7 linked regions of the Macaca fascicularis genome follow. The protein of the gene in region 6 purifies or fractionates together with the protein of the main gene of each other region. This does not show direct contact. Links are inferred from orthologs where the notes say so. Each region holds a gene or a part of one and is shown on either strand. Other genes may lie near its edges. The genes, in order: PATL1, G3BP2, DCP1B, PABPC4, LSM12, DDX6 and ATXN2L.

Evidence for each region.
Region 1: the proteins of DDX6 (region 6) and PATL1 purify together in Homo sapiens (affinity purification with mass spectrometry; 6 studies listed by BioGRID and IntAct, with this or other methods). This does not show direct contact. The link is inferred for Macaca fascicularis from reciprocal best matches to the Homo sapiens genes DDX6 and PATL1.
Region 2: the proteins of DDX6 (region 6) and G3BP2 purify together in Homo sapiens (affinity purification with mass spectrometry; 3 studies listed by BioGRID and IntAct, with this or other methods). This does not show direct contact. The link is inferred for Macaca fascicularis from reciprocal best matches to the Homo sapiens genes DDX6 and G3BP2.
Region 3: the proteins of DDX6 (region 6) and DCP1B purify together in Homo sapiens (affinity purification with mass spectrometry; 6 studies listed by BioGRID and IntAct, counting the BioPlex papers as one, with this or other methods). This does not show direct contact. The link is inferred for Macaca fascicularis from reciprocal best matches to the Homo sapiens genes DDX6 and DCP1B.
Region 4: the proteins of DDX6 (region 6) and PABPC4 purify together in Homo sapiens (affinity purification with mass spectrometry; 3 studies listed by BioGRID and IntAct, with this or other methods). This does not show direct contact. The link is inferred for Macaca fascicularis from reciprocal best matches to the Homo sapiens genes DDX6 and PABPC4.
Region 5: the proteins of DDX6 (region 6) and LSM12 purify together in Homo sapiens (affinity purification with mass spectrometry; 5 studies listed by BioGRID and IntAct, with this or other methods). This does not show direct contact. The link is inferred for Macaca fascicularis from reciprocal best matches to the Homo sapiens genes DDX6 and LSM12.
Region 7: the proteins of DDX6 (region 6) and ATXN2L purify together in Homo sapiens (affinity purification with mass spectrometry; 6 studies listed by BioGRID and IntAct, with this or other methods). This does not show direct contact. The link is inferred for Macaca fascicularis from reciprocal best matches to the Homo sapiens genes DDX6 and ATXN2L.

What each region holds. Positions count from the first base shown.
Region 1 is NC_088388.1:14,377,503-14,381,002, forward strand, and holds part of PATL1 (protein PAT1 homolog 1), read left to right. Parts: intron 1-18; coding exon 19-236; intron 237-1,603; coding exon 1,604-1,693; intron 1,694-2,652; coding exon 2,653-2,833; intron 2,834-3,083; coding exon 3,084-3,207; intron 3,208-3,500. UniProt on the Homo sapiens protein: RNA-binding protein involved in deadenylation-dependent decapping of mRNAs, leading to the degradation of mRNAs. Acts as a scaffold protein that connects deadenylation and decapping machinery.
Region 2 is NC_088379.1:58,233,092-58,235,950, reverse strand, and holds part of G3BP2 (ras GTPase-activating protein-binding protein 2), read right to left. Parts: intron 2,346-2,859; coding exon 2,217-2,345; intron 1,657-2,216; coding exon 1,538-1,656; intron 600-1,537; coding exon 327-599; 3' UTR 1-326.
Region 3 is NC_088385.1:2,850,892-2,855,046, forward strand, and holds the start of DCP1B (mRNA-decapping enzyme 1B), read right to left. Parts: upstream 2,801-4,155; 5' UTR 2,775-2,800; coding exon 2,625-2,774; exon of another isoform or gene 2,513-2,624; intron 1-2,512. UniProt on the Homo sapiens protein: May play a role in the degradation of mRNAs, both in normal mRNA turnover and in nonsense-mediated mRNA decay. May remove the 7-methyl guanine cap structure from mRNA molecules, yielding a 5'-phosphorylated mRNA fragment and 7m-GDP.
Region 4 is NC_088375.1:195,330,754-195,334,750, reverse strand, and holds the start of PABPC4 (polyadenylate-binding protein 4), read right to left. Parts: upstream 2,801-3,997; 5' UTR 1,963-2,800; coding exon 1,770-1,962; intron 1-1,769.
Region 5 is NC_088390.1:65,113,234-65,117,436, forward strand, and holds the start of LSM12 (protein LSM12), read right to left. Parts: upstream 2,801-4,203; 5' UTR 2,711-2,800; coding exon 2,587-2,710; intron 1-2,586. UniProt on the Homo sapiens protein: Nicotinic acid adenine dinucleotide phosphate (NAADP) binding protein. Confers NAADP sensitivity to the two pore channel complex (TPCs) by acting as TPC accessory protein necessary for NAADP-evoked Ca(2+) release.
Region 6 is NC_088388.1:117,654,560-117,658,746, forward strand, and holds the start of DDX6 (probable ATP-dependent RNA helicase DDX6), read right to left. Parts: upstream 2,801-4,187; 5' UTR 2,544-2,800; intron 2,089-2,543; exon of another isoform or gene 2,022-2,088; intron 1,614-2,021; exon of another isoform or gene 1,397-1,613; intron 1-1,396.
Region 7 is NC_088394.1:27,641,933-27,645,432, forward strand, and holds part of ATXN2L (ataxin-2-like protein), read right to left. Parts: intron 2,566-3,500; coding exon 2,365-2,565; intron 1,895-2,364; coding exon 1,719-1,894; intron 1,549-1,718; coding exon 1,438-1,548; intron 319-1,437; coding exon 106-318; intron 10-105; coding exon 1-9. UniProt on the Homo sapiens protein: Involved in the regulation of stress granule and P-body formation.

The sequences.
Region 1 (3,500 bases), about 100 Mb from region 6:
AGATCTTCCTCTTTGTAGCTACAGCCTGGACGGATGTCTCCCAGCCAGTTTGCACGGGTGCCTGGATTTGTTGGTAGTCCACTTGCTGCCATGAATCCCAAGTTGCTACAAGGGCGAGTTGGGCAGATGCTTCCCCCAGCACCAGGCTTCCGTGCCTTCTTTAGTGCTCCACCCTCCGCTACACCACCTCCACAGCAGCACCCTCCTGGCCCAGGACCCCACCTGCAAAACCTAAGGTATACAAAATCAATGCCACTATTTATCAATTATCAGCCAAGTCTCTTGATTGTGGATGTGTAGTTTTATAAGTCTCTTGATATTTGCTAACTAATAAATTTTAAGATGTTATTGGATCCTCAGGTTGACAAACATGGAAATGTTTGACAATCTCCAGGCTTTCTTGTGAATCACATTTTTCTCACATTACCAGAAGGTATGGAATAGAGCAACAGATGCTGAAAAGTCAGCTAATCTTCACACTAGCTAAGTTGTTTGCTTTTATCCTCTGGTTTTATAACAAAAGGGGTTCAAGTTCCTGTTTCGGTGAAGTTGTGTTTTATTACATATCGTATTGTGGCAGTCAGGATTTTCAAGAGACACCCGAGAACCAGTAGAGGAAAGAGAGCAAGAATGTTCATGTGAGCAAGTTTTATTTTAAGAAATCGGCTCATGTGATTGTAGAGACTGACAAGTTCGAAATCCGTAAGACAGACCAGCAGGCAAGAAACAGTTTTTAAAAGCTCAAGTTGCAGTCTTGAGTTTGAAATAAGTATAGCAGGTCAGCAGTCAAGACACTCAAGCAGGATTTCTGTGTTCCACTCTTGAGGCAGAATTCCTTCTTCTGGGAAACTTTAGTTTGTTATAAATGTTAATCACATCTTTACAAAATACCCTCACAGCAACATCTAAGCAGTGTTTGACCAAATAACTGGGTACTAAGGCCTAGTCATATTAACTATCACACATATATCTTTAATAATATTCCCACATAGTTGAAACTGAGTATGTTAAACCTACTTAGAGACTTCTGTTAAACAGTTAAAAGCAAAAAGAAAAAGAATTATACTGCTTTACTCCTAATTCACTCAGATTTCATGATCACCCTTTTAGAACTTGGTCTTTGTGGAAGATATGTAAAAATATGACTATCTTTTGCTTCTAAAAGGTCTCCTTAGAATGGACTTTTTTATTTTTTTATTTTTTTGAGACAGAGTCTCACTCTGCCTCCCAGGCTGGAGTGCAGTGACCCACACGATATCGGCTCACTGCAAACTCTGCCACCTAGGCTCAAGCGATTCTACTGCCTCAGCCTTCCAAGTAGCTGGAACTGCAGGCGCCTGCTACCACACCCAGCTAATTTTTGTATTTTTAATAAAGACAGGGTTTCACCATGTTGGCCAGGCTGGTCTCGAGCTCCTGACCTCAAGTGTTCCACCCGCCTTGGCCTCCCAAAGTGCTGGGATTACACACTGCACCCAGCCCGAATAGACTTTTGTAGTCCCTTAAGTTAACCTGTATGAAGTTATCCTGTACTGACAACATTCTTTAAAATTTCAAATCATCAGGATGACCAAACTGAGAACCTCTGTTCCATTTTTCTTAGATCTCAGGCCCCAGTGTTTAGACCGGACACAACTCACCTTCATCCACAGCACCGTCGACTCTTGTATCAGAGACAGCAACAGAATAGAAAGTAAGTACTCATCCAACTCCTTTATGGCTTCTTAATTCAGCTTTTAATTTTGACAGTGTAACAACATGCTATTTAGTTGTTTGTTTTTTTTGTAAGTTTACTTCGTATCCGTAAACCTGAATGTATTATCAACATGTAAATATGAAAAGCATAATATTGAGTAAAGAAGCAAGGAACGGAATTACATGTACCATTTATGTAAAACTAAAAGGCACACAGAATAATACTGTGTAATATTTAAACACAGACACACAAGTAATAAACGTACAAAAACATTTCAGGGAGGATACATACCAAGGCATGATAGTGGTTCCTCTATGAAGGAAGAGAAGCTGGAAACTGGGTCTAGAGGGGTACAACAGGGCCTCTGTCAGTGTAACACTGTGTTATTTTAATATTACTTTAAAATATTTGAAGCAAATTCAACCAAATACATTTTTTTCTATTAGGTCTAGGTGATGGGTAAATGGATATTTATTATAGTATTTGCTGGGCTTTTTCTCTGAATTTGAAATATTTCGTGATTTTTAATGAGTTTAAAATATTTATGTATACTTCAGAGCTAAATCGCCTGTGTCAAAATCCCTTAGTCCACCACTAGATGTATGGCTTTGGACAAGTTACTTGATCTCTCTTTGGCGTCGGTTTGTTGTCTTAAGTGGGGAAGAGAAAACTACCTACCTCACAGAGTTATTCTAGAGCTTATACAAAAGTCCATAGGTGAATATGCTTAGCATATGGAAAGGTACTCAGATCTTAGTTTTATTTCTTGATTATTTATTACATAGCTCTTTCCTCTTAAATTCTATTAAAACTTAGTTCTTTTTCACTCCCCTTTTAAGAAAAGCAAGGGGAATCTTTAAAAAAAAAAAAAAAAAAAACTGGCCTCATTTATTCCTCTGTGTTAAAAAGCGTAATTAATTTGCCCACTTGGAGTGAATGTGGTGTATGTTTTTCAGTCAGCATCGGAATCTCAATGGTGCAGGAGATAGAGGAAGTCACCGGAGCAGTCATCAAGATCATCTCCGAAAGGATCCATATGCCAATCTCATGTTGCAGCGGGAAAAGGATTGGGTCTCCAAAATCCAGATGATGCAACTGCAAAGCACTGATCCCTACCTGGATGATTTTTATTACCAGGTAAATACTCTGTGCTAGTTTTGAGGATAATAGTTTGGTCCCCTACACTGGTAAGGGTATTCATTTAAATATTGGTACAATTAAATATTTGTAAAATTTTCTTTTGAGATACTTAGCCTCTTGCACTACTCACTATCAGTACATTTCTAGAACTGAACTTGTGTTACTGTCACTGGCATAAATTATTTGATGGTAAACAACAGTCGTGTTCTGTGCTTATGTTACAACCGAAATCATCCTCTCATGGTAGAATTACTTTGAAAAACTGGAGAAACTGTCAGCTGCTGAAGAAATACAAGGTGATGGCCCTAAGAAGGAACGCACCAAGCTTATCACCCCTCAGGTGGCCAAACTGGAGCACGCCTATAAGCCAGGTAAGGTCCTCATAAGAAAAATGCCCATAATAAAAGAAATTTGAGAAGCCGCTGATTAAATATAGACAAGTGTATATGTGGACGGATATGTAAAGACGTTTCAAAGTGATTTTAAAGTACCATTGTCCTTAATAAATGCAAAACTCAGCCTTTATTCGAGCCTGGACTGAACGCGTTGACATGTGCCTTTTCAGGTCCTTTTCTACTTGAGATTTCATGATTTTTTAAATGTATTCTAATTTTCAGTACCCCTAAAATAAGGGGGAAATACTTTAGATTTTTTATTGTGATAA
Region 2 (2,859 bases), on a different chromosome or scaffold from region 6:
CAGCAGAAGATTTTTTTTTGACTCAAAGGACCTGAATTCAGTGGGCATGTCCTTTTAAGTTCACTTTGTCGTAGATAGTTTAAGATATGGTCATTTCTCAGTCCTTAATTCTCCAAGTCTAGATTTATAAATTAACAATGTGAATCCTGTTGTGAAATTGGGGAAATAATGTCCACCTCAATTTAACTGATAACCAAAAGATGCTTTTCACATCAAAGAAATGATCAAAAAGGCTGTGTCACATTCCAAAGCCAAAAAAAAAATTAACAAGAATGCAAACACGATGAATAATGTACCACTGCCAAGACTTTGCCAACAGTGGAGCTTCAGCGACGCTGTCCTGTGAAGCGGCCTTCCATTTGCCCGGTTCCTCTTCCAGAGCCAAGTTTCTGTGCCATGCCACCCCTTGGAGGAGGTCCTCTTCCATCACGATCACGCATCATTCCACCACCCACAATTCCACGTGGACCACCAGGACCTCGATCATTGCGCCTAATATCCCTGCGATCATCACCACCACCTCTGGTTTCTCGCTCTCTTGCAGCTCTTGTTTTTTTCTCTTCAACATTTAAACGTACTTCCCCTCGAAACATAATTGGCTTTATAAAAGAGGAGAAAAATATTTACACGGGCAGGTTAGACAGCAGTAGAAATGTATTACTCTGAACAGGTAAGTTAGATAAGCATAAGGAACAAAACACTTTTATAAGCCCCCTGCCCCCAGAGACAGGGTCTCAGCTGTCACCCAGGCTGGTGACAGCCAGTGGCACAAGCATGGCTCACTGCAGCCTTGACATCCCGGGCTCAAGTGATCCTCCCACCTCAGCCTCCTGAGTAGCTGGGATTATAGGTGTCCACCACCATGGCCGACTATTTTTCTTTTTTTGTAAAGACAATGTCTTGGCCGGGCGCGGTGGCTCAAGCCTGTAATCCCAGCACTTTGGGAGGCCGAGACGGGCGGATCACGAGGTCAGGAGATCGAGACCATCCTGGCTAACACGGTGAAACCCCGTCTCTACTAAAAATACAAAAAATTAGCCGGGCGAGGTGGCGGGCGCCTGTAGTCCCAACTACTCGGGAGGCTGAGGCAGGAGAATGGCGTGAACCCGGGAGGCGGAGCTTGCAGTGAGCTGAGATCCGGCCATTGCACTCCAGCCTGGGCGGCAGAGCGAGACTCCATCTCAAAAAAAAAAAAAAAAAGACAATGTCTCACTGTTGCCCAGGCTGGTCTTGAACTCTCCTAAGCTCAAGCAATCCTCCTGCCTTAACCTCCCAAAGTGCTGGGATTACAAGTGTGAGTCACTATACCCAGCCAAAATTCTTAACATGCAATCTTTCCCACCTTCTTCAGCAAAGCAAGTAACAAAATTTAAAATGATCCACAAACTGCTAACAAATCTTTATTCTTTGCATAAATACCATTTAATAACTATTTTTAGCTTTATTATTAAAAGATTTTCTATGGTTTTTAAATACCCCAAATTAATATATACAACAAAATAATAAAGTCTTGAATTATGCCCTTTAAATCACTTACTTTTGCAATTAAGATTCTCTGAACTGGTTCAGAGTCATCAAAAACCACAAAACCAAAATTTGGAAGCTTTCCCCCAACACCCTTGGTATTGATGCGAAGTTCCACAACGTTTCCAAAACCTGTGAAAATATACATTACATCAAGGGTTAAATATTTTTAACAGAATACCTTGATGGCTCAAACTGTTCAGGATGAATAATCTTAATCTCCCTGATCCATTTTAAAATAAAACTTGCAAGCTTCTACACACAGTGATAGCCAACCTACATTTACTGAAGCAGGCAATCACCTAAGATACCAAGTAGCCTGCCTGCCTGTTGTGTTACCTTTCTGCATCTTTGTTAGTCCTTTCATACGTAAACTGTGTAACTCTGGAAAGACAATGTGTTTTCTCCTAATATATTGACCCGTTTGCCAAATGAATTCTTTATCTCTGAATTTATGACTGATTTATCCAGCTGTTTCTTCTAAACACTGTCGAGCCAGGCGAAATCAACACTAAGCAGTCACTGAGAAACATCTGAGATAGCCTACTCCCTTCTGCACAATTAAGGTGAGTCTGGTAGCTGGACACAGTATAAACAGAGAAACATTTTTTTAAAATAGTCATTTAAAAAGCTCCATATGCCTCTTAATTTAAAATAATTTAAAAACTTCTACAGCAAAATAAATCACTTACTCATGAAGAATTCTTTTAGTTCATTTTCATCAATATCATGTGGCAAGTTACCAACAAAAAGTTGATGACTATCTGGATAGCGAATTATTCTACGGTTGTCAGAGTCATTCTGTTCCATATCTCCTCTGCCTGAGAACAGAAATAGAGCAGATATTAAAGTTTACAATATCATAAAAACTACTTCAACAGAATGAATGTAAAAATCACAATATTGATATTCCTGTTTTAGTTTAATAAGAGTTGGTGAGCTTCTTGAAAAAGAGGCAAAACTACTTATTACTAGTAGGTTAGAAAACAGCATGACACTAAAATGTAAAGTGAGGACAATGACTAGGTTGCTAAAATAGCTTCTTCTAGATCTACTGGATTATACAAAAATCAAATACCAGTACAGGTATTCCTCCTTAACCAAACTGTTGCCATCACCCAGGAACCAAGCAGATTTCAGACAGTGAGGTACAGCTCTACTAAATATTTGCTTAGTCTTTTGAAATTCAAAATTCTTTGGCTGTATGACATTACAGCAAATCAGTAAATTTTAACAGGAATTATCACATTTATGTAGTCTATACATATTAGTGTATATGTATATATATACACATAAAATCTTATGATTCTCCCAATAACACGAGGAACACAGTGA
Region 3 (4,155 bases), on a different chromosome or scaffold from region 6:
ATGCATGTAGCATCGGCGTCACCTATGAAGCTTTCAACAATCTCAAATGCCTGGGTCTCATTATCCAGAGGTTTTAGTTTGGCATTTTTCACTTTAAAAAAACTGTGAGTTAATTGGCTACACCAAAAACTTAGAAAACCACTAGCTCGGAACACAACCTCAGTCACTGTAGGGCAGTTTTCAGGCTCAGCTCACCTGGCCTCTATTCTGCAGATGTCCTAACACTCTTCCCTTCAGTGCGACAGCCAAAAACGTCTCCAGACGCTGCCAAATGTCACCTGGGGGCAAAATCAACTCCAGCTGGGAGCCACTGGTCTAAGAACTGACAGCTGGAAAATACCAGGGCTATGGTCTTCAATTGACACACAGGTATTAATATTTTGGAGGGGGGCATCTTTCCTGACAACAGGGAGTAGATCTAACTCTAAAATTCCTATTCCAGTCATGACATAATCTTTCTTAATCCTTCTTTAAAGCAGTTCATTTTCTATACACCTTTCCTTCCTAATTTCTCCTCCTCTGAAAGGCTGAAGTCATTCTTCATCCATTTTCAGGGCAATAAGAATTCCCCTCTTTAACATCTTCCCTGCCTTCTTGTAAATACTTTCTCCTCTCTTCTCAAGAATGTTCTCATATTCTTATTAGGTTTACATTCAAATGGCTCCCACCCAGAGTGACAGCACATGGAGACAGTGGTCATAATTTGTTTGCCTCCAGCAACTGCTCTGCAGCTGAACTAGGTCTCTCTCTTTGTTTTTCTGGCTACGACAGCCTTGAATATTAGAACTTTGAAAGAATGACCTTTTCCTGAGTGAATTATACCCTGTCTGAAGGCAACATGTCCAGCAAGCAGGAAAACATAACTCCTGTAAATAATGCATTGTGACACATCTGCTTTTTGATGAGGCTTTAGGTATCTAATAAACATCTGTAACTATCTTAAAAGGTATCTATCACATAGATAACGGTCAAAAGCCTACAGGAAACAACTATTATTCAAGAGAAATGCTCTACTTTCTTTATATTAATAGTTTCTCAGGATGCTCCAGACTCGAATCCCAGTGTCAAGTCAATTTACACAACTATACATCTCTGGTCCTCATCTCTCTACTATGGAATTAACTTTTACAGGATTATAACATTATGCCTTTGGCATTTTTCTACACAGCAGCAAAACAGCCTTATGTAGAATATCTTCATATATACTTTTAATTACCATGGAGGAAACTGTCTACTATGTTGCTCAATGTTCTTTATGTAAAGACCTAGGTGACAAATGCCCCTGGAAACTAGGGGGAAATAACCTTTCTCCTGATTAAGTGGTAGGCTTTCTATTACAGAAGAATGAATATTAAAGAGCTCTTCCTGTTCTCCTTTTGAGTTTGGCTACTAGGAGCGCAGACCTAAATTCTTTGCCCCATTCCTGTAAATTTCCTCTGTTAAGAACTTTGGGCAAAACTGTTTGTCTATCCCATTCTTGCTTGCTTTTTTATTTTTATGTTAATGATTTTCAGGTGAGTTTTTACTACAGGCTGCTGAACTACACTGGAGATAAGTAGGTTTATGAATGTGGGTGTTAAAAAAAAACAGAGTTGTTCAACATGGATGTTTTCCTTGCTTAAGTTCTGGTGTTTATACAACCGACTTGAAGAACACAAAAAGTTTATCTGAAATCCATTCATCAAGGCTAAGTTCTCCATACTGTTTTGTAACTTATTTTAAAATGATGGATATCATATATGTGATATTTAATGGGCAATATATAATGGATGATGAATATTATTTGGACAAAAATCATTATGAGGAAAGAAATAAAATTACATCTCTCTACATTCGAGTGGGTGGGTTACAAAATTACAAGCAGCAATTCCTGCAACAGGATTCCAGTGTTCTAGGCTTCTACCCCATTCTAACTGTGAGGACAATGAAATTTCATTCCATTACCATTTATTGAGACTCTGCTTTGAGAAGAGCACTAAAATAATCTGGCTCCCAAATGGCCTCCAATATCAAACTTGGTGGGCTGTCGTATAATAATCCTCCCAAGAGCATCAGCCTCCTTCTAAGTGTTGGACCCTGCCCCATTTTGTCTTTTATTTGACGAGGTTGGCTCTTTTCTTGGCGTTTCCCTAGTTTACAACTTGCAGATTTCTCCCCTTCTATCAAGTTTTGATTTCTCTTTGTCCCATCTAAGACTGACATTCCAAAATCAGAACTCTGCACTTTTATTCATCTGCTGTCCCTGCCTCCCCCATAGCCACAGATTCACTGTAACAGAACTCTGCTTTACTGTCTCGAGCACATCGGTCTTCCGACCTTAAGGCATCAGGTCCTTCCTTTCCTTCGGCTCTCAGGGTGCGGTACCCGATCGGTCTGGTCTCCCAGCGTTGGGTACGTTAGAGATTTAAGTCTTTTCCCCAACTCCAGGTAGCTCCACAGATCCGCCTCCCTTCCCCCAAACCCCCGGGAGCGCATCTCCACAACTTCGGCCTCAGGCCCCAGATCCACCCACCTCCAGGGCTTCAACGTCTCCTCCCCCTCACCGGGTCCTCCTGTCCTGAGTCTGACGCCCCCCGCCTCCACCCCAACCCTGCTCTGCACTGCTCCGCCGCGTCCGCACGCACCCACTCGTTGGCCCGATGGCCGAAGGTGTACAGAGCCACCTGGCTGGCCACGTCCACGATGCGGTTGATATAGGGGTCGTGGCGCTGCAGGGCCGCTAGGCTGATGTCGCGCCCCTTCCCCACCAGGCCGCCTGCCGCCACGGCTGCCATCTTCCCTCCCTCCCCGACATAGGCACGGGGCTCTTGGAAGCCACTCTCAATAGATCGCAGAACGAGCGAGCTGCTTCGCTACCAAGAACCCACCGCGACCACAAGGCCCGGGAGGCCTTTTCCGGCTCCAGTCACCCACACCCTCCCGCCCGCCGACTGACGCAAGGCCTCACTAATCGATGGCCGCGCTCCGCCCACTGAGGATCGTTGCCACTGGCAACGACAAGCCCAGGCCTGCCCTCTGCATCCCGTTTCTTTCTCCAAGAGCTGTTTTTCTTCACGCTCGAGCCTTTGAGCTGTGTGCGCGGTAGGACTTCCTTCTTGGATGTGTTCGACGCCTTGGCATATCTTTTCTTTGGCGCTTCAGTGATCAGACCTATCACAATAAATAAGCCTCGAGCATCAAGAACTCTGAAGAGAAAGAGAACTGAATTGATTTCTGAATGCGCTAACACCCAGTGGTTCTCAAAGTGTGGTGTGGTCCTGGAACCCCTTGGGAGTTTCTGAGACCCTTTCAGGGGATCTGCAAGGTCAAAAAAAAAAAAATTTTTGATGACAATGCTAAGACTTACTTATTTGACTTGTTCACTGTGGTGAGGATTTGCAGACAATGGTGGTTAAAAGTGCTGGTGGCTTAACCCAATCATGGCAGGGACACCAAACTGTATTGCTAGTGAAAGTACGCACGTGTCACTAACCTGCATTCTCAGTTAAAAAAAAAAAAAAAAGCTAGAGAGCCAGTGTCACCTGATGGTGTTCTTGATAAGCAGTAAAAATTATAAATTTTATTGAAGCTTAATCCTTGGGTACCATTCTTTTTAGTATTCTGCATGAAAAAAATAGGAAATAGGCATAAAGCACGTCTGCTACAAAATGAAGTGTGTCATGCTTGTCTCTAGGAAAATACTTCTGTGCTTGAGTTGTGGGCCGAATTCATGTTTTTTTTTTTATTTTCATAAAACATTTTACTTGAAAGAAAGATGGGCAAACTATGATTATTCAAACAGGTACTTGACAGACATTTTCCTGAAAATAAATAAAGTGTGCCTGTCACTTTCAGGAAAACAAGGGACAATTACTGCTGCCAATGATAATTTTTAAGCCTTCAAGCCAGAATGAAAAGTTTAGAAAATGTGTATCTGCTGCCATGAGCTTGACAACGTCTCAATATTTAACGTTTTTTTTTCTGATGAGATCAATGATGATATTAATGAGTGCAATTTTAACAAATCTTGTGTAATGGAAAGTGTCAGTATCTCAGAGATCTGCTTAACTCAGTGGTCCAGTATTTTCCAAATGACTGATGTCTCATGCTACATAATCATGCACAGGCAAAAGATCCATTCCAGGACAAGGTGGACTAATGGATTTTTAATGTAAC
Region 4 (3,997 bases), on a different chromosome or scaffold from region 6:
CATGAGGGGATTTAGACAGGGTCAGAGCAGTGGAATCTGCTCCTTGCCTCAAGGCAACATCTCACTTAAGGGGGGGGACAAAATTCCCCAACTCTGACGCTCCACAAGCTCAACTGTTTCTTTAACCAGGAGAATTTATTTTCACTCATTATTTCCAACAAACTTCCCCACCCCCTTCAGAAGGTGGGCTCATCTGTATGGGGGGCAGTTGGGAAAAGGGGAGATGACAAGACAGATCCAAGTCAGGAACAGTCCAGGAAAGGAGGAGTTTGCTTGTGATGGCGATCAGAGATAGATAGCTGGGATCGCAAACTATTTCATTAATTAGCAGTAAAGGAGCCCATTTCAACACAGCTCCTCGTCTATTTCCAGACAGCACTGCACAAGGCAAGCCGGCTTAGTCTGACAAATCTGGCTGCACTTATTTATAGCAGGGAGAAGTCCTGCAGAAGTATGTGTTGGCAGACACACTGACCAATGGCTTCTGCTATCTCTAAGTGACATGACTTTTGTTCAAAAGTCAAGAAGGCAGACAACAGCTAATGTGGTACATTATCCCTTAAAAAGACCACACTCAGCTACCTTCTTTGCGCTCCTATAGCCATAGACAGAACTCAGCTTGGAGCATACTGGGTTGACGGTAGCAATACCTAGTTCCTCTTAACATGTCCAATTCTCTGGTCTCAGCTGCAACCTGGGCAAGTAGTAACTCTGGGCCTCAGACAGAAAACAAAGTGGGGACCTCAAAACTAGCGACCTGGAGATCCTTTGCCATAGCATGGCTTGTTTCTCCCAGTAATGATCTCTGCAGTTGTTCCCTTCTAATCTGGAGTCACGTGCAGCCTCTGATCAGATTTCCTTTGGCCTCACTCCTGCCACGCCTGCAACATACCTCTCTCCATGCTAAGGCCACAATCTGAGGTGGCAGAGCACTGTGCTGGGAGTCCCAACTTGGTTTCCAACTTTTTGCATTCCTTTTCCTTCTCAGGAGTCCCATTTTCTTCAGATTAAATGAAGTAAAAGGGCTCTGATGAGTGCAAACCACTGTTACAGCTGAGGTGACAAATGCCACCAGATTTTCAAGTGACGCTTCCCCAAACTACCTCCACAACACTCTTTACAGCACAGAGCCTGGATACCATTTGTCCAGCGCAAAGCACTTCTCCACTCCAGTGGCAAACACACAGACTAAGGAGCTGGCCTGGCACACGCAGCTCCTGTGGCACTAACCTAAATCTCTGCTAGTTTAACGCACAGAAACCTTCCCCCTGCTTCCTGCCTGCCCTGACCCATCCTTTATCAGCACAACATCAGATAGTCAAGGTTAGTAAAGGTGGCAGAGCGGGCAGGAACTCTACAATGTAGAACTTTTGCGGGAATTGTGTTTCAAACGTCCCTCCTTTTTGGCCAGCCTGTGAAGGGCACAAGCAAGGGTCTGTAACAGCCCAGCCCCACTGACAAGGACCACACACAGTGGAATGCCAGTGGCTTCACTCTAATCCTGTTTTACAGTTTCCTTGGTTTCCAACCCTACTACCAGCAACACCAGTAAGTAGCCCAAGGTCACCCAGTTAGCAAGTGGTAGAAACAAGATTGAAACTCGAGTCATCTGATGCCAGGTCTGCGTTCTCAATCTCTGCACCCTGCTCCAAGCTTCGGTGGCAACATGCTGTCGTGATGCTGCCCTCCTTGGCAGGAGGGCCCTGCCAGAAGACGACTCCCGGGGTCCGCCGGGCTCCCACGCACGTGTGGGCACAGCTTCTACTCACCGTCGGCCGGCTGCTGGAAGTTGACGTAGGCATAGCCCAGGGAGCGGCGGGTGATCATATCGCGGCAGACCCGGATGGACAGCACAGGCCCCGCGGGGCTGAACTTTTCGTACAGCATGGCCTCGGTGACGTCCGAGTGCAGGTCGCCCACGTACAGGGAGGCCATGGGGTAGCTGCTGGCCGCAGCGTTCATCTCCCCGCCCCCCACCACCCCGAGCCCCGCCAGGAGGACTTCTTATCGGGCCCGCCGCAGGACAAAAGGGGCGCCCTCAGAGCCCGGGCCCGCGCCGCGGCTCACAGGTGGCACCGGGGCGGCGAGGACGAGCTGGAGTCGGCGGGCTCGGAGATGGGACGGAAACGGGAGGCGGGGGCCGGCTCCCACGGCCGCGGCACCGCAGACAAAAGGCTCTCCGCACAATACGGCCCTCCCCACGACTTTGCACTTCTCCGCGGTCCTGGTGCGAAGCTCCAAATTTCAAAAAATCAAAGTAGGAAAAAAATTAAACGGGGAATCCCCTTCCGAACGGTAAAAATCCTTTAAGAGGCGACCGGACGCTACCCACGGCGGCCCCGGGGACACGCGTTTCTCTATAAATATAGGCCTCGGGCTCCGGCGGTTTAAGATTACAACCGCCGGGGCAGAGGGAAACCAAATCTTTGTGGGCGCCGACTCGGCGAGCCCCGGGCGGGCGGCGAAGGGCAGCGCGGACACGTGGTGCGCCGGGGCCGGCGCGGGGCTCGGGCCCGAGCGTGGGGAGGGCGCGACGGGCCGGGCGGGCGGCTCACCCCCGGACCGATGGACGGAGACCGACGGACGCCAAGCGCGGCGGCGGCGGGCGCGGGGCAGGCCGGAAGCGTGCGAAAGTGACTTCCCCGCGGGTTCTCCGAGGAGGATTCGCTTTTTCTTTTCCTTTTTTTTTTTTTCAGGATTTTGAAGCGTTTTCGGATTTTTTTTTATCTTTTTCTCTTTTTTTCCTCAGGCTGCGGAGCCCGAAAGCGGCGCAGGCGGCAGCGACCCGGGGCGGAGAGAGGCGGCCGAGGGAGCCACCGCTCCATTTATACCCGCCCGCCCCGGGCGCTGCTGGTCGAAGGGCGCCTCGCGACCTGGGCGCAGTCGTGCCCGCCCACTCGGCCCGGGGGCCCGAGGCGGGGCGGCCACGCGAGAGCGACCCGGCGCGGCCGCGCGGCGCCACAGCGACCCCTGGCGCGCGGAGGACCGCCTAAGCTCGCGGTTGCAGGAGACCCCCAGGGCCCCTTTCTATAACCAATGAATCTTAAGACCCTCCTACCCATCACCCGGGAATGGAACCTAGAAGCCATTTAACTTGCACACACGCATGAGGTTTAAAATTAAATGGTATGGGGCCGGGCGCAGTGGCTCACGCCTGTAACCCCAGCACTTTGTGAGGCCGAGGTGGGTGGATCATGACGTTAGGAGATCAAGACCATCCTGGCTAACAAGGTGAAACCCAGTCTCTACTAAAAATGCAAAAAATGAGCCGGGCGTGGTGGCACGCGCCTGTAATCTCAGCTACTCAGGAGGCTGAGGGAGGAGAATCGCTTGAACCCGGGAGGCGGAGCTTGCAGTGAGCCGAGATTGAGCCACGGCACTCCAGCCTGGGCAACAAAGCGAGGCTCCATCTAAAAAAAAAAAAAAAAAATTAGATAGTAAGCCTAATTGTGAAATGAAGGTGACATAAAATAAGTTAAAGTAATAGGTGGTCCAATAGGTAAATGTTTGTGAAGTTTTCAGAATACTGTTGGCCTAGAGGTAGAATCGTCAAGAGCTGGAAATGCAAGCAGTATCCATGGGTGATGGGATTTTCTGAAAAGATGAGCACATTTTGGTAAAGCTTCAATGAAACCAAACACAAGCATCCCTTCTATTGACATGCTGGTGGCATTCCCGGACATTTAGTTTGTATTTAAGGGCCCAGAAATACTTTCTACTCCTATGTTTAAAGTTTCTTATACGCTTGGATAATTATAAAAAGACTTTTCATCTGCATCAGGGTCTGGCAGGTCATTTGAAAGTCATATCACTTGCCAGGCTCAAGCCTGTAATCCTAGCACTTTGGGAGGCCGAGGCAGGTGGATCACCTGAGGTCGGGAGTTCGAGACTAGCCTGACCAACATGAAGAAACCCCTGTAATCCTAGCTGCTCAGGAGGCTGAGGCAGGAGAATCGCTTGAACCGTGGAGGCAGAGGTTGCGGTGAACTGAGATAAT
Region 5 (4,203 bases), on a different chromosome or scaffold from region 6:
AAACTACACACTGGAAAGGAAATTCACCCAAGGTGATCCAGCCAGTTAATCCATTCATTCATTCACACATTCATTCTCCAAACATTTAAGAGCCCACTGTATGTCAACTAAAAATTGAGTAATTCAGCCAGGCGCAATGGCTCACGCCTGTAATCCCAGCACTTTGGGAGGCTGAGGCAGGCGAATCACATGAGGTCAGGAGTTCGAGACCAGCCTGGCCAACATGGCGAAATCCCGTCATTACTAAAAAAAAGTTAGCCGGGTGTGGTGGCACATGCCTGTAATCCTGGCTACTCTGGAGCCTGAGGCAGGAGAATCACTTGAACACAGGAGCCAGAGGTTGCAGTGAGCTGAGATCATGCCACTGCACTCCAGCCTAGGTGACAGAGTGAGACTCCATCCCCCCAAAAAAAAAAAAAAAAAGGGTATTTCCTAGTTTCAAGACCCTTCCAACCAAACCACTAATGTAAAAGGTCTTATTTCTTCCAGGTGTAACCTCTCATTTTTTGAAAAAGCAACTATTGTTAGCACGGTGGCTCACGCCTGTAATACCAGTACTTTGGCAGGCCGAGGCGGGCGGATCACGAGGTCAGGACATCGAGACCATCCAGACTAACACAGTGAAACCCTGTCTCTACTAAAAATACAAAAAATTAGCTGGGCGTCGTGGCGGGTGCCTGTAGTCCCAGCTACTCAGGAGGCTGGGGCAGGAGAATGGCACGAACCTGGGAGGCGGAGTTTGCAGCGAGCCAAGATCGCACCACCCACCACTGCACCACTCCAGCCTGGGCAACAGAGCAAGACTCTGTCTCAAAAAAAAAAAAAAAAAAAAGCAACTACTCTTACTATAATTAGTTTCAAAGGACATCTTCCTAAACTAGAAATCTACAAGCAGTGGTTAAATGAATTAAAATACTTGCCACTCAAAGGCAGCAGACTCAGTAGGAAACTTCATTTTGAAAGATGCCATGGCCGGGCACGGTGGCTCACGTCTGTAATCCCAGCAATCTGGGAGGTCAAGGCAGGCAGATCACCTGAGGTCAGCAGTCTGAGACCAGCCTGACTAACATGGAGAAACCCCGTCTCTACTAAAAAAAAAAAATACAAAATCAGCCGGGTGTGGTGATGCATGCCTGTAATCCCAGCTACTAGGGAGTCTGAAGCAGGAGAATCGCTTGAACCTGGGAGGCGGAAGTTGCAGTGAGCCCAAATCAAGCCACTGCACTCCAGCCTGGGCAACAGGAGTGAAACTCCGTCTCAAACAAAAAAAAAAAAAAAAAAAACAAAGCCGGGCGGTGTCTCAGGCCTGTAATTCCAGCACTTTGGGAGGCCGAGGCGGGCAGATCACGAGGTCAGGAGTTCGAAACCATCCTGCCCAACATGGTGATACTCCGTCTCTGTTAAAAAAAAAAGATACAAAAATTAGCTGGGCGTGGTGGCGCGTGCCTATAATCCCAGCTACTCCGGAGGCTGAGGCAGGAGAATCGCTTGAACCAGGGAGTCGGAGGCTGCAGTGAGCCAAGATCACGTCACCGCACTCCAGCCTAGGAACAGAGCGAGACTCCATCTTTAAAAAAAAAAAAAAAAGATACCATAAAAAATTACTCCTTCAAGATTCCAATAAACCCACCTGTAGCTCCCATAAAAGGGGAAGCTGTGGCACATTTATCCCAACAAGAAGCGTTTCGTTTCCAAGACTGAGTTTCCTGGAGTAATTCAGAAGTCATTCCCACCCCAAAGAAGCAGGCCACCTTTTCCAATCAATTTAACATTGCTGCTTTCAAAAGGGAGGCTGCTACTACTACGTAAAAGGACTCCATGTGCTGGACTGATCAAGGCAGCATGAGAACTTCACTCTTTCACCTGTAACTCACACATCCCCAACCCACATAAGCCCCGGCAAGCCCTCTCTGGAACAGGTTTCCAATGCAAACATCCCCCAAACAGCGATTTCCAAATGACCGAGAAGCCTAAAAGTCAGAACAGCCCCCCCACCACCACACATACACACGCATCAGCGAAACAAGCCACTATCCCCAGTTCAGATACAAACTCTGCCCTGCACTTACTCTCCCCCAAAACAGGCAAGGACCAATTTGGTCACCATCCCACCGCCCTTCCTTGGACGAAATCCCATCAGTGCACATGCCCTCCTAAATTCTATACCTTTGCCCTATCAGCAGTTCCTTACCCTAAACATCCCTCCCCATAATATTTCACCCGCCCCTCCTTTCCATCCGGGCTCCAATCCACCAGCCCCCTCCCAACACCACCCCCTCTCCTAATCACTGTGTCCCCTCTCATAACGTTCTTCCCGAAAAGCCATCCCCGTGTCAAGCCCTCCTCCACCCACTGATCCTCGGTAAAGCCCCAGCTCCCGCAAGGGGAGACAGGATCCCCAAAGCTGACCGAAGGGCCCGCGGGAGGGGGAGGGGAACTCAGGGCCATGCGCATGCGCCCCGGGCGCCGCGGTAGCCGGTCGCCCCTAGGCCCGGAGAGAGCCCCAGCCGCCGCCGTCGTCCCCCACCCCCCGACCACCGCACCTATACGCCGGCCCGGACTCGGGCTTCACGCAGGGAAGGATACTTAAAGCCAGCATTTTGGATTGGTAGTCGAAGGCTACCACCTCGCCCTGCAGCCGCTGCTCCTGGCACGTCCGGCACGACACCTGGCTCCCAACGCTGAAGTACTCGCCCGGAGGAGCCGCCATCTTGGGAGTGCAGCCGCGGCCGGCGGCGGCGGCGGCAGCAGCGGGCGAAAGCCGGGCCCCTAGTGAGCGCCGCGACGCGACGCGACGCACGGAGCGTGCTTGCGTCACACGCCGGGGCGTGGTCTGACGCTGGGTGGCTAGGGAACCTAGGTGGACTAGGGAAGACGAGGAAATAAAGGGGAATCTGAAAGATATTTGTGTAGCTGCGTCCGCTCGGTTAAATGCTTGTAGAGTCCATTTTAGAAGTTAAGGATAAATGACCTACGTGGAATGAAAGGGGGAAAGAGGAGAGAGCTGCAGTCTCCATTATATGCACACCTTCCACACAAGAGTTTAATGAATGAATTTTATAAAATATATTAACCCCATTTTGCATATAAGGAATCAGAGCCTCAGAGGACTTAACAATACTTGGACAAGATGATTATAACGGCCAGGAGCGGTGGCTCACGCCTGTAATACCAGCACTTTGGGAGGCCGAGGCAGGTGGACCACCTGAGGTCGGGAGTTCGAGATCAGCCTGGCCAAGATGGTGAAACCCTGTCTCTACTAAAAATACAAAAATTAGCCGGGTATGGTGGCGCGTGCCTGTAATCCCAGCTACTAGGAGGACTGAGGCTGGAGGATCGCTCGAACGTGGGAGGCGGAGGTTGCACTGGGCCGAGATCGTGCCACTGCACTCCAGCCTGTGCAATAGAGCAAGACTCCGTCTCAAAAAAAAAAAAAAAAAGATGATTGTAACTAGAGAGTGATAGTGGAAAGAACATTGGCTGTGGAGTGAGATAAGCCGGAACCAGAATCCCAGGTCAACCTATTACTAAATCACCTGACCTTGAGTAAGCAAATTACCTGATCCTGTTTCTTCATAGGCATTTGTATTGTCACTTCTTGAGCATCTAACAGCCCTTTGAGGTAGGTATCAATGTCCTCCTTTTACAGAAACTATGTTTTAGACTAAACTTGTCCACGGTTCCACAACTAGCAAAAACAGTCTACCTATTTACAAGGACAGTGCTATTTACTGCTATACTGTGTTAGATAATAATACCTACCTCATAGTTAGGAGGTTTAAATGCGATAACGTGTATATGTGCATGGCATGTACTAGGTCTTTAATAAATGGTAGTTCCCCTTTAGTCATCCATTATTCTTAGAAGTCAAGACACTTCCTCTTCTTCCTTTTTGCCCTCTCCCCCAGAAAGCCAGGCAAAAGGCAGGAATGAGGAGCAGCAGATAGTGACAAAGAGGAACTTGGAGGAGGGGTTTTGCACCCCTGCCCTTTAATGTCCATCTGATATACAAAACAGTCATTTTCTTAATCTTATGTAAAGGACTATGTGCATGTATTTTCAAGCCCTACCAATTGCTGTCGCTAATCCACCCACCCCCACTATAGAAATTTTGGATCCTCGCTTCATGTATGAGAAACAGGTTGACCTTTCTGTAGTCCAGAGGGAGGCAAAGGACCAGTCCTGGCGCAGCTTAACCTGAAC
Region 6 (4,187 bases):
CACGCAGGTTGGAGTGAAGTGGCACTATCTCGGCTCACTGCAACCGCCGCCTACTGCGTTCAAGCGATTCTCCTGTCTCAGCTTCCAGAGTAGCTGGGATTACAGGCGCCCGCCACCACGCGCAGCTAAATTTTTTGTATATTTAGGAGAGACAGGGTTTTGCCATGTTGGCCAGGCTAGTATCGAACTCCTGACCTCAGCTGATCCGCCTGCCTTGGTTGGCCTCCCAAGGTGCTGGGATTACATGCGTGAGCCACCGCACCCAGCAACCCCGTCACATTTCTTACATAAAATACACAGCTTACAAGTGCTGATTCTTTCTGCCATACACCAAGGCATGTGAAACTCAAAATTTTAAAGTCAACAGATCTCAAAATTTATGAGAAAATGCTCCTTGATTATGCCTTCCTTAAAAAAAAAAAAAAAAAGAACAAGTTGCTCACAAGCAAATCCTGATTATCACATACACAAAGTTGTTTACTTTAAAGTCCTTCTGACATCTTAAGCAGATATGGTTAACAGCTACTTTCCTGTATTGACGGGTTTATATTATGATCAGCGACATCACGCAGTTCACACAGAGACTTAGCTGTTTGCAGAGCACTAAGAGGATGAAAAGGGCAACCTCTAAAGACCGAACGATATCATCATTACTGTCCATCATGCACAGTAAGACCTCCTATATCCTTAAATCCAAAATGAGACTATGTGATAACTGCTCCCTTAAACTGAAACCTGCACTGCAGCTTTGTCTCAGAGAAGGAAATATTCCTCCTATTCCTTCCCAATTTATATTTTCAAGTTATCTTTCTACATTTTCAAAACAAAACAAAACAAAACACAAAAAAACGAGAAACAGACTAGAAACGTAGACTAGTTGGGAGGAGCCCCTAGCGGAGTTAATTACAGCACTTCTCAGATCATAGTTAGCAATTGACAGTTTCACACCCAAAACAGTATCGTCATCGCCAACAAGAGCTTTTGTTTGCAAATGCAGCGCAGTTTTTCTAAGCTTTGCCTGCAAGTTGGAGTGACTGGGTTTTATTCTGAAGGGAAAGGGGGGCTGTGGAAGGGAAAAGAAAGAGATAAGGGAAAGAGACAAGTCAATGACTGGAGCCCCACAATTGTAGGGAAATTTCTTGCCCTCCCCCCTGCTGCCCCTCGCCCCAAACACACACACGTCAAGTCAGCTCCCTCTGACCATAAACACAAAAGGTTGGGGCTCTGCAATCCTATCTGCGCAATATGAACCGGCAACCAGCTCCATCAGTAGCAAACAATAGGGACTCCCCCAAGAAGGCCCCAAAGGGACCCCCCAACCCAGAAATCCCCCTCCTTTCCTCCAAGAGTCTGGGGCTCCATATACACCCTCTTGTTATTGACCTGCAAGGCCTACCGCAATCAAGCAGCGGTCAGTTCGCTTCTAAACCGAGCCTTCCAATACAGCATGTCCCTGCCGCCCCCTATAGGGCCGCCTCGTACCCTATAACCTCCACCATCATCCCCCTAAGTCCTTGCCGCCCCCTTCGGCCTCATATTCCCTCATCTTCGATAAAGCTCCTCCGAGTACTTAGCCTGCTCCTCCTGCCGACCCTGCCGCGCACCACATTCCTATATTCGCCTCCTCTCAGGCGCCCCCACCCCACACAGCTGCCGCCCGCCTTCCTCCCCAGGCCCGGCCAGGCCTTAGGCCTCCGCCCAAGAGAGTCCCCCAGAGCCGGCCCGGGAGACTCCCCGCAGCCCCCACAGCGCCGCTGACCTCGACCCCACCACCTCACCCCAGGCCTCGCGGCTCGGGCCCGTGTCCTACCAAGGAGGCCACTCCCGCTCGGCACCCTCGGTCCTTTATTGTTGACTCGAAGCTCCCAAAATGGCGGCCGCTCCTTCCTCCTCGGAAACCTCCGCCCGCCCCCACTCGGCCCCCTCGCTACGGCCTCCTCCCGCCCCCGCCCCCACCCGGCTCCGAGGGGCGCGCAGCCCAGCCGCCCGCGCCGCCGGCTCCCCCGGCCGTCCAGCCCTACCTCCTCCGCTGCCCGCTCTCGTGGCGCCGCCGAAGTCGCCGCCGGGCTGAGCTAACTCGGCTCCTCTGTCCCCTCCCTCGCTCGCCCGTTCGCCTGCCCGCCGCCTCCTCCCTCTTTCCCTGCCTCTCCGCATGGCGGCGACCGCGGCTCCTCCTCCACTCAAGATGGCGAAACCTCGGCCGCCGCGGCTACATCCGCGGCGGCGTCACTGCCTTCCCGGCCTGGTGGTGAGAGGAAGCCGGGCCGCAAAAGCCTCCTGAGGAGAAAATGGAGGGCCCTTCTCTCACACCGACGAGAAAAGTTCGAGGGGGAAATATGAGTTCCTTTCTGAAGGGACAGGACGGCTGCTTTTCCACAGCTGCGAAGTGATTGGGGAATGGTGGCTGGCAAGGGTAGCCCTGCCTTCGCCCCTCCAAAGTAAAAATAGGGAGTTGAGACCAGAGGAGCATCTCTTTATTACATGTCTAAGGCTATGTTTTGAAAACTGGCCCCCGGGCAGCTGCTCGGGGACAGGAAGCTGACCTGACTTCTCGTGCTAGCCGGGGAGGCTGATGCCGGGCGTAAGGGGCCGCGTCCATCCAGGAAGGCGCGGGACTAGCGGCCCGGAGACGCGGGGCACGCGTCTGAGTGTGGGGGCCGGAAGGGGGGCCGACCGGGCCTGGAGGCCGCGACAGGCAGGAGGGAGGACTCCAGGGAGCGCGCGGGGGGCGCTTCGCGGAGGGGCAGGGCGGGCCAGTAGGGCGCGCCTGGCTAGGGGAAGGCTCCGGGCTTGAAAGTGCGCCTGGGGGGCTGGTTGGGGGTGGGGGCAGGCACCGGGCTTGAGGGTGTGCCTGGGCGGGGGAAGGCTCCAGGCAAGAGGGCGCGCCTGCGGGTTGTATGGGGGGGTACACCGAGCTTGAGGGTGCGCCCCAGGGGCTCTCATGTGAAGTGTACTAGGCTTGAGGGCGCCCCTGTGGGGCTGGGTGGGGCAAAGGCACCGAGCTTGAGGGTGCGCCTCGGGGGGCCGCGGGGGGAAGGCACCGGGCTTGAGCGTGCGCCGGGAGAGGACGGCGGGGGACCGCACTGTGAGGGCGTATCTTGGGGGACCTGTTGGGGAGCAACCGGGAGGTGAAGGCACAGCTGGGGATGAGGCGGGGGCAGGGGCCGGGCTGTGAGAGTGCGACTGAGGGGGATTACTCCGGAACGCATGGAGCAGGGGTAGCTCACCGGAGTGGTGGGGGGAGAAGCTGGACTGTAAAGTGAGGAGTTGGTAGGGCGCAACCCTCTTCTCCTGCCGTCGAAGGGCAAGACTCAAGAACTCAAGAAAGTGGGAGCGGAGGAGGCCGGGCCCTCCCCCAAAGGGAGGGAAGCTACTGAATCGTCCGTTATAATGGAAGTAGGAATTCAGTAAGGAAATGGAGAACCTGAAGGCAGAGGGTGATTCCTCCTGGCTGACCCTCACTATAAAGATATTTATTTATCTTTCCATAATTACTTTTCAGATCCCAATGTCTCTGTTTATCCTTGACAGAAATAATAGAACTGCTGTCTTCTTCCAAGTTAAACAAAACTTTGGAGTTAAAAGCTAACTAGGTCAAGCGAAACAATATCTGGGTCTCGCCCAATTGAGAGACTTGAGTATACAAAGAATGGCCAAACCTATCCATGACCTCCTACCCATGACCTCTGCAGTAATCTGCCCAGAATGGTCAGGACTTGATCTTTAGCTGGCCGCTTCCCTATTTCTTGCCCCTGCTTCCAGCTCTGGGCCAATCAGAGAAAGCCAAATGTGCTCCTCACACCAATCACATAAGAAGCCCTGCTTCTAATTAGCCCTCCTCCAACTTCCCGGTGCCGGGAGCCTCCAATCAGAGCCAGCCTGAAGTTTCTCACTTTTTTCACTGTATGTAAAGCTTTTCCACTCCCCTGCCTGCCTATGAGTCTACCAAACCAAGTGATGGGTCTCGGCTGACTCCCTTGCCAGCTCTGAGTAAATAGCCTGTTCTCATCTGGTGGTCGTTATTTCTACACAGCCAGTGGGAAGGTGGCGGAGAATAGTGAAGACTATTCTTAAGGTTAAAAAGAAGGTTCGCCTTAAATTTTTTTTAAATTTTAAATTTACAGTATGGCGTCTCCTGCCCAGCTTTTAAAATACCTGCTCATGTAAGGAAATAGCCTTGCACCTTG
Region 7 (3,500 bases), on a different chromosome or scaffold from region 6:
GTTCTTTTACTGTGCAAGGAGAGGGAAATGCCTAAAAATCCTTCTGTCCAGAACCACAAATCACACTAAATATGCATTAATGGCACTCAAACACCTAGCTCTTACCATCTGTGGGGGCCAGGGAGATCTTTGGAGAAGCTGGGGAAATGGAGCCCACTCCAGGATCTGAGACTGATGAGGTCACAGGGATGGAGGCTGAAGAGGTTGGCACTGCCGAGCCGATGGGAGGCTCAGGACAGGAAGCTGAGATTGGGGCAGGGGCAGCAGACTTGGGAGAACGCGGGGGATATATCCGGCCCACTGGAAGAAAAGGGGGAGCTGTAGGACGGTTACTGCTAGTCAACAGCAGTGAATACAAGGGCCTTACTCAAAACAGCAAGAAAGTTTACACACTATACAACCAGAGTCACCAACTTAAGTGTCTAGAAGGCCAAGGCAGGTAACACAACCAGGTAAATGGCCTCATGGGCATCATCGGTGACTGGAATGCTTAAAGGGGTGGCTGGGATTCTGTCCCAGTCAACCTGAGCTATGCAGCAAGGCAAGCTCAGTTGGCAGAACTTCCTGTAATCCAAAAGAAACTAAAATTTTCTATGGCTTCTACTGTTTTATTTATGTAGAGACAGGGTATCGCTCTGTTCCCCAGACTGGAGTACAATGGTATGATGCCATCTCACTGCAACCTCAGCCTCCTGGGCTCAAGCGATTCCCCGCCCCCAGCCTCTCAAGTAGCTGGGAGCACAGGTGCACGCCATCAGGCCTAGCTAATCAATCTTTTTATTTTTTGCAGAAGGGTTTTGCCATGTTGCCCAGGCTGGTCTTGAACTCCTGGGCTCAAGCAATCTGCCTGCCTCAGACTGTTTTAAAAGTTAGCAACTGGCAGGATGTGGTGGCTCATGCCTGTAATCCCAGCACTCTGGGAGGTGCGGTGGGCGGATATTGAGATCAGGAGTTCAAGATCAGCCTGGCCAACATAGTAAAACCCCGCTTCTACTAAACATACAAAAAATTTAGCCAGGCGTGGTGGTGGGCGCCTGTAATCCCAGCTACTCGGGAGGCTGAGGCAGGAGAATCGCTTGAATCCGGGAGGTGGAGGTTGCGGTGAACCAAGATGACGTCACTGCACTCCAGCCCAGGTGACAGTGCGAGACTCCGTCTCAAAAAACAAACAAACCAAAAGAAACCCCAGAAAAGTTAGCAACTGATTCAAATCTAAACAAAGGATGTCTGCCAAACAGACACAACCTATGAATTGCCAGGTTGAGATTTCTGCACTAGGGAAATTAAAGAACTATTTCCCAATATGACTAAATCCCAAACGCCCAAAATATCTATCTTAAAATTATCTCCCATTCCAGCATTTGTAACAACTGGACATATTTATATCTCTTTACAAATTTCCATCCATTTCTTCATCCAACACTACTAAAGCTTTACCTGCAGGAGGAGGTGGAACAGAAGTTTCTCCAGAAGGCCTATTACTGGGTGAAGACAGAGTCTTGGCACCTCTCAGAGGCCGCTGTGCCTTTGGGGACATGCGGGAAGGGCCTGTTTTTTTTTTTTTTTTAAGATGAAGAAAACGTCAGAGGAGGCAGATGACCTATTATATTCCCACCGATGCAGTGTCATTCCAACCCATCCAAACCCCTCCAGTTACCCTCCTACCTCCTCGGCATCCCCTTCCCTGCCCTGCCCCTCAAAGTCACCTCATAACTCACCTCCATTGATACCACGGGCCTCAGAACCTGGGCCAGGACTGCTATTGTCCAGATGGTGAGGGCCACGAGGTGGCAAAGAGCTAAGGCCAGGCCGACCGCCCCGAGAGCTGCTGCATCGAACTCCTCCCCGGGGACCTTCTCGGACTCGCTGAGGCAGAGGGATATACTTCCCCTCCCTGAGGAAAGAGTTCAAATAAGGCCAGGTAGCCACGAAACTCACGTTTTCTTCTTCTTCTAAAGTCTCTCCCTTCTGCCCCCAAACACACATACACTGCCTGGCTCCAGCACTATTCCACTTGAAGATCTGCCCCAGTTTAATGTTCTATGGCTACAGACTTATGACCTTATGTGACATCAACTCTGAGCCAACCAACCTGGCCAATGCTCCACAATTCTACAACTCCTGACCTATGACAAAGTTAGGATCACACCATAGTTTCAAGGACAGTTTTTGTAAAACACAAGGAATCCAGTTACATTTCACTTTTATAAGAAAAAATAGCACATATATAAAAATGAATACAGAGAAAAAGAGAACGTAAACCAAAATTTTGAAACTTTAAACCACAGCACCCATCAATTCTGGGCCCAGGCCCCAGGACACTCCCAGAAGCCCCAAATAGTCCTGGCTGTTCACGACAGTCACCTGGATGCCAAGCTGGGGCTCTCCCGACCCGAACCCTGCCGCTGGACCGCACTGTGCTTCTCCTCTTCAGTGCGCCCATCATCGTTCTCCATGGCGATCCGCAGGCGGTACTGGGGGCTTGATTCAATCTCTCGAGCCAACTGGGCTGCACGCAGCTCTCGCTGACGAAATTCTTCTGAGTTGTCCTTTTCTAAGGGCACCCTGAGACAGCACCCACAGACCACCACCATCCCAGTGCCAGGGGACAAAAGAGGAAAAAAGAAAAAACACTTCAACAACTCCAATCACCAGTTCAGGCATGTAAGTATTTAATCCTTTCTTTTTTTTTTTTTTGAGACAAGTGTCTCGCTCTGTCGCCCAGGCTAGAGTGCAGTGGCACGATCTCGGCTCACTGCAAGCTCTGACTCCCGGGTTCACGCCATTTTCCTGCCTCAGCCTCCCGAGTAGCTGGGACTATAGGCGCCCGCCACCACACCTGGCTAATTTTTTTGTCTTTTTAGTAGAGACGGGTTTTCACCATGTTAGCCAGGATGGTCTCGATCTCCTGACCTCGTGATTCACCCGCCTTGGCCTCCCAAAGTGCTGGGATTACAAGCATGAGCCACCACGCCCGGCCAGTATTTAATCCTTTCAACTCAACATCTGGGTAACGGGCACCGACTGCGTCCCAGGTAGAGCACCAGTCCTAGGTAGAGCACCAAGGCTTATCTGGGAATGTCAGGAGCACTTACGTGCTTAAAACCTTTGAGGGAGGCTGGGTGTGGTAGCTCACGCCTGTAATCCCAGCACTCTGGGAGGCCGAGGTGGGCGAATCACTAGGTAAGATCAAGACCATCCTGGCTAACACGGTGAAACCCCGTCTCTACTACAAATACAAAAAAATCAGCCAGGTGTGGTGGCAGGCGCCTGTAGTCCCAGCTACTCAGGAGGCTGAGGCAGGAGAATGGAGTGAACCTGGGAGGCGGAGCTTGCAGTGAGCCGAGACTGCGCCACTGCACTTCAGCATGGGCTACACAGCGAGACTCCATCTCAAAAACAAAACAAAACAAAACAAAACAAAACCTTTGAGGGAATAGTTCCACAAGGTAGAGTAAGTAGGAGCAGGGACGGTGACCCTGGACACCCAGAGAAAAAGG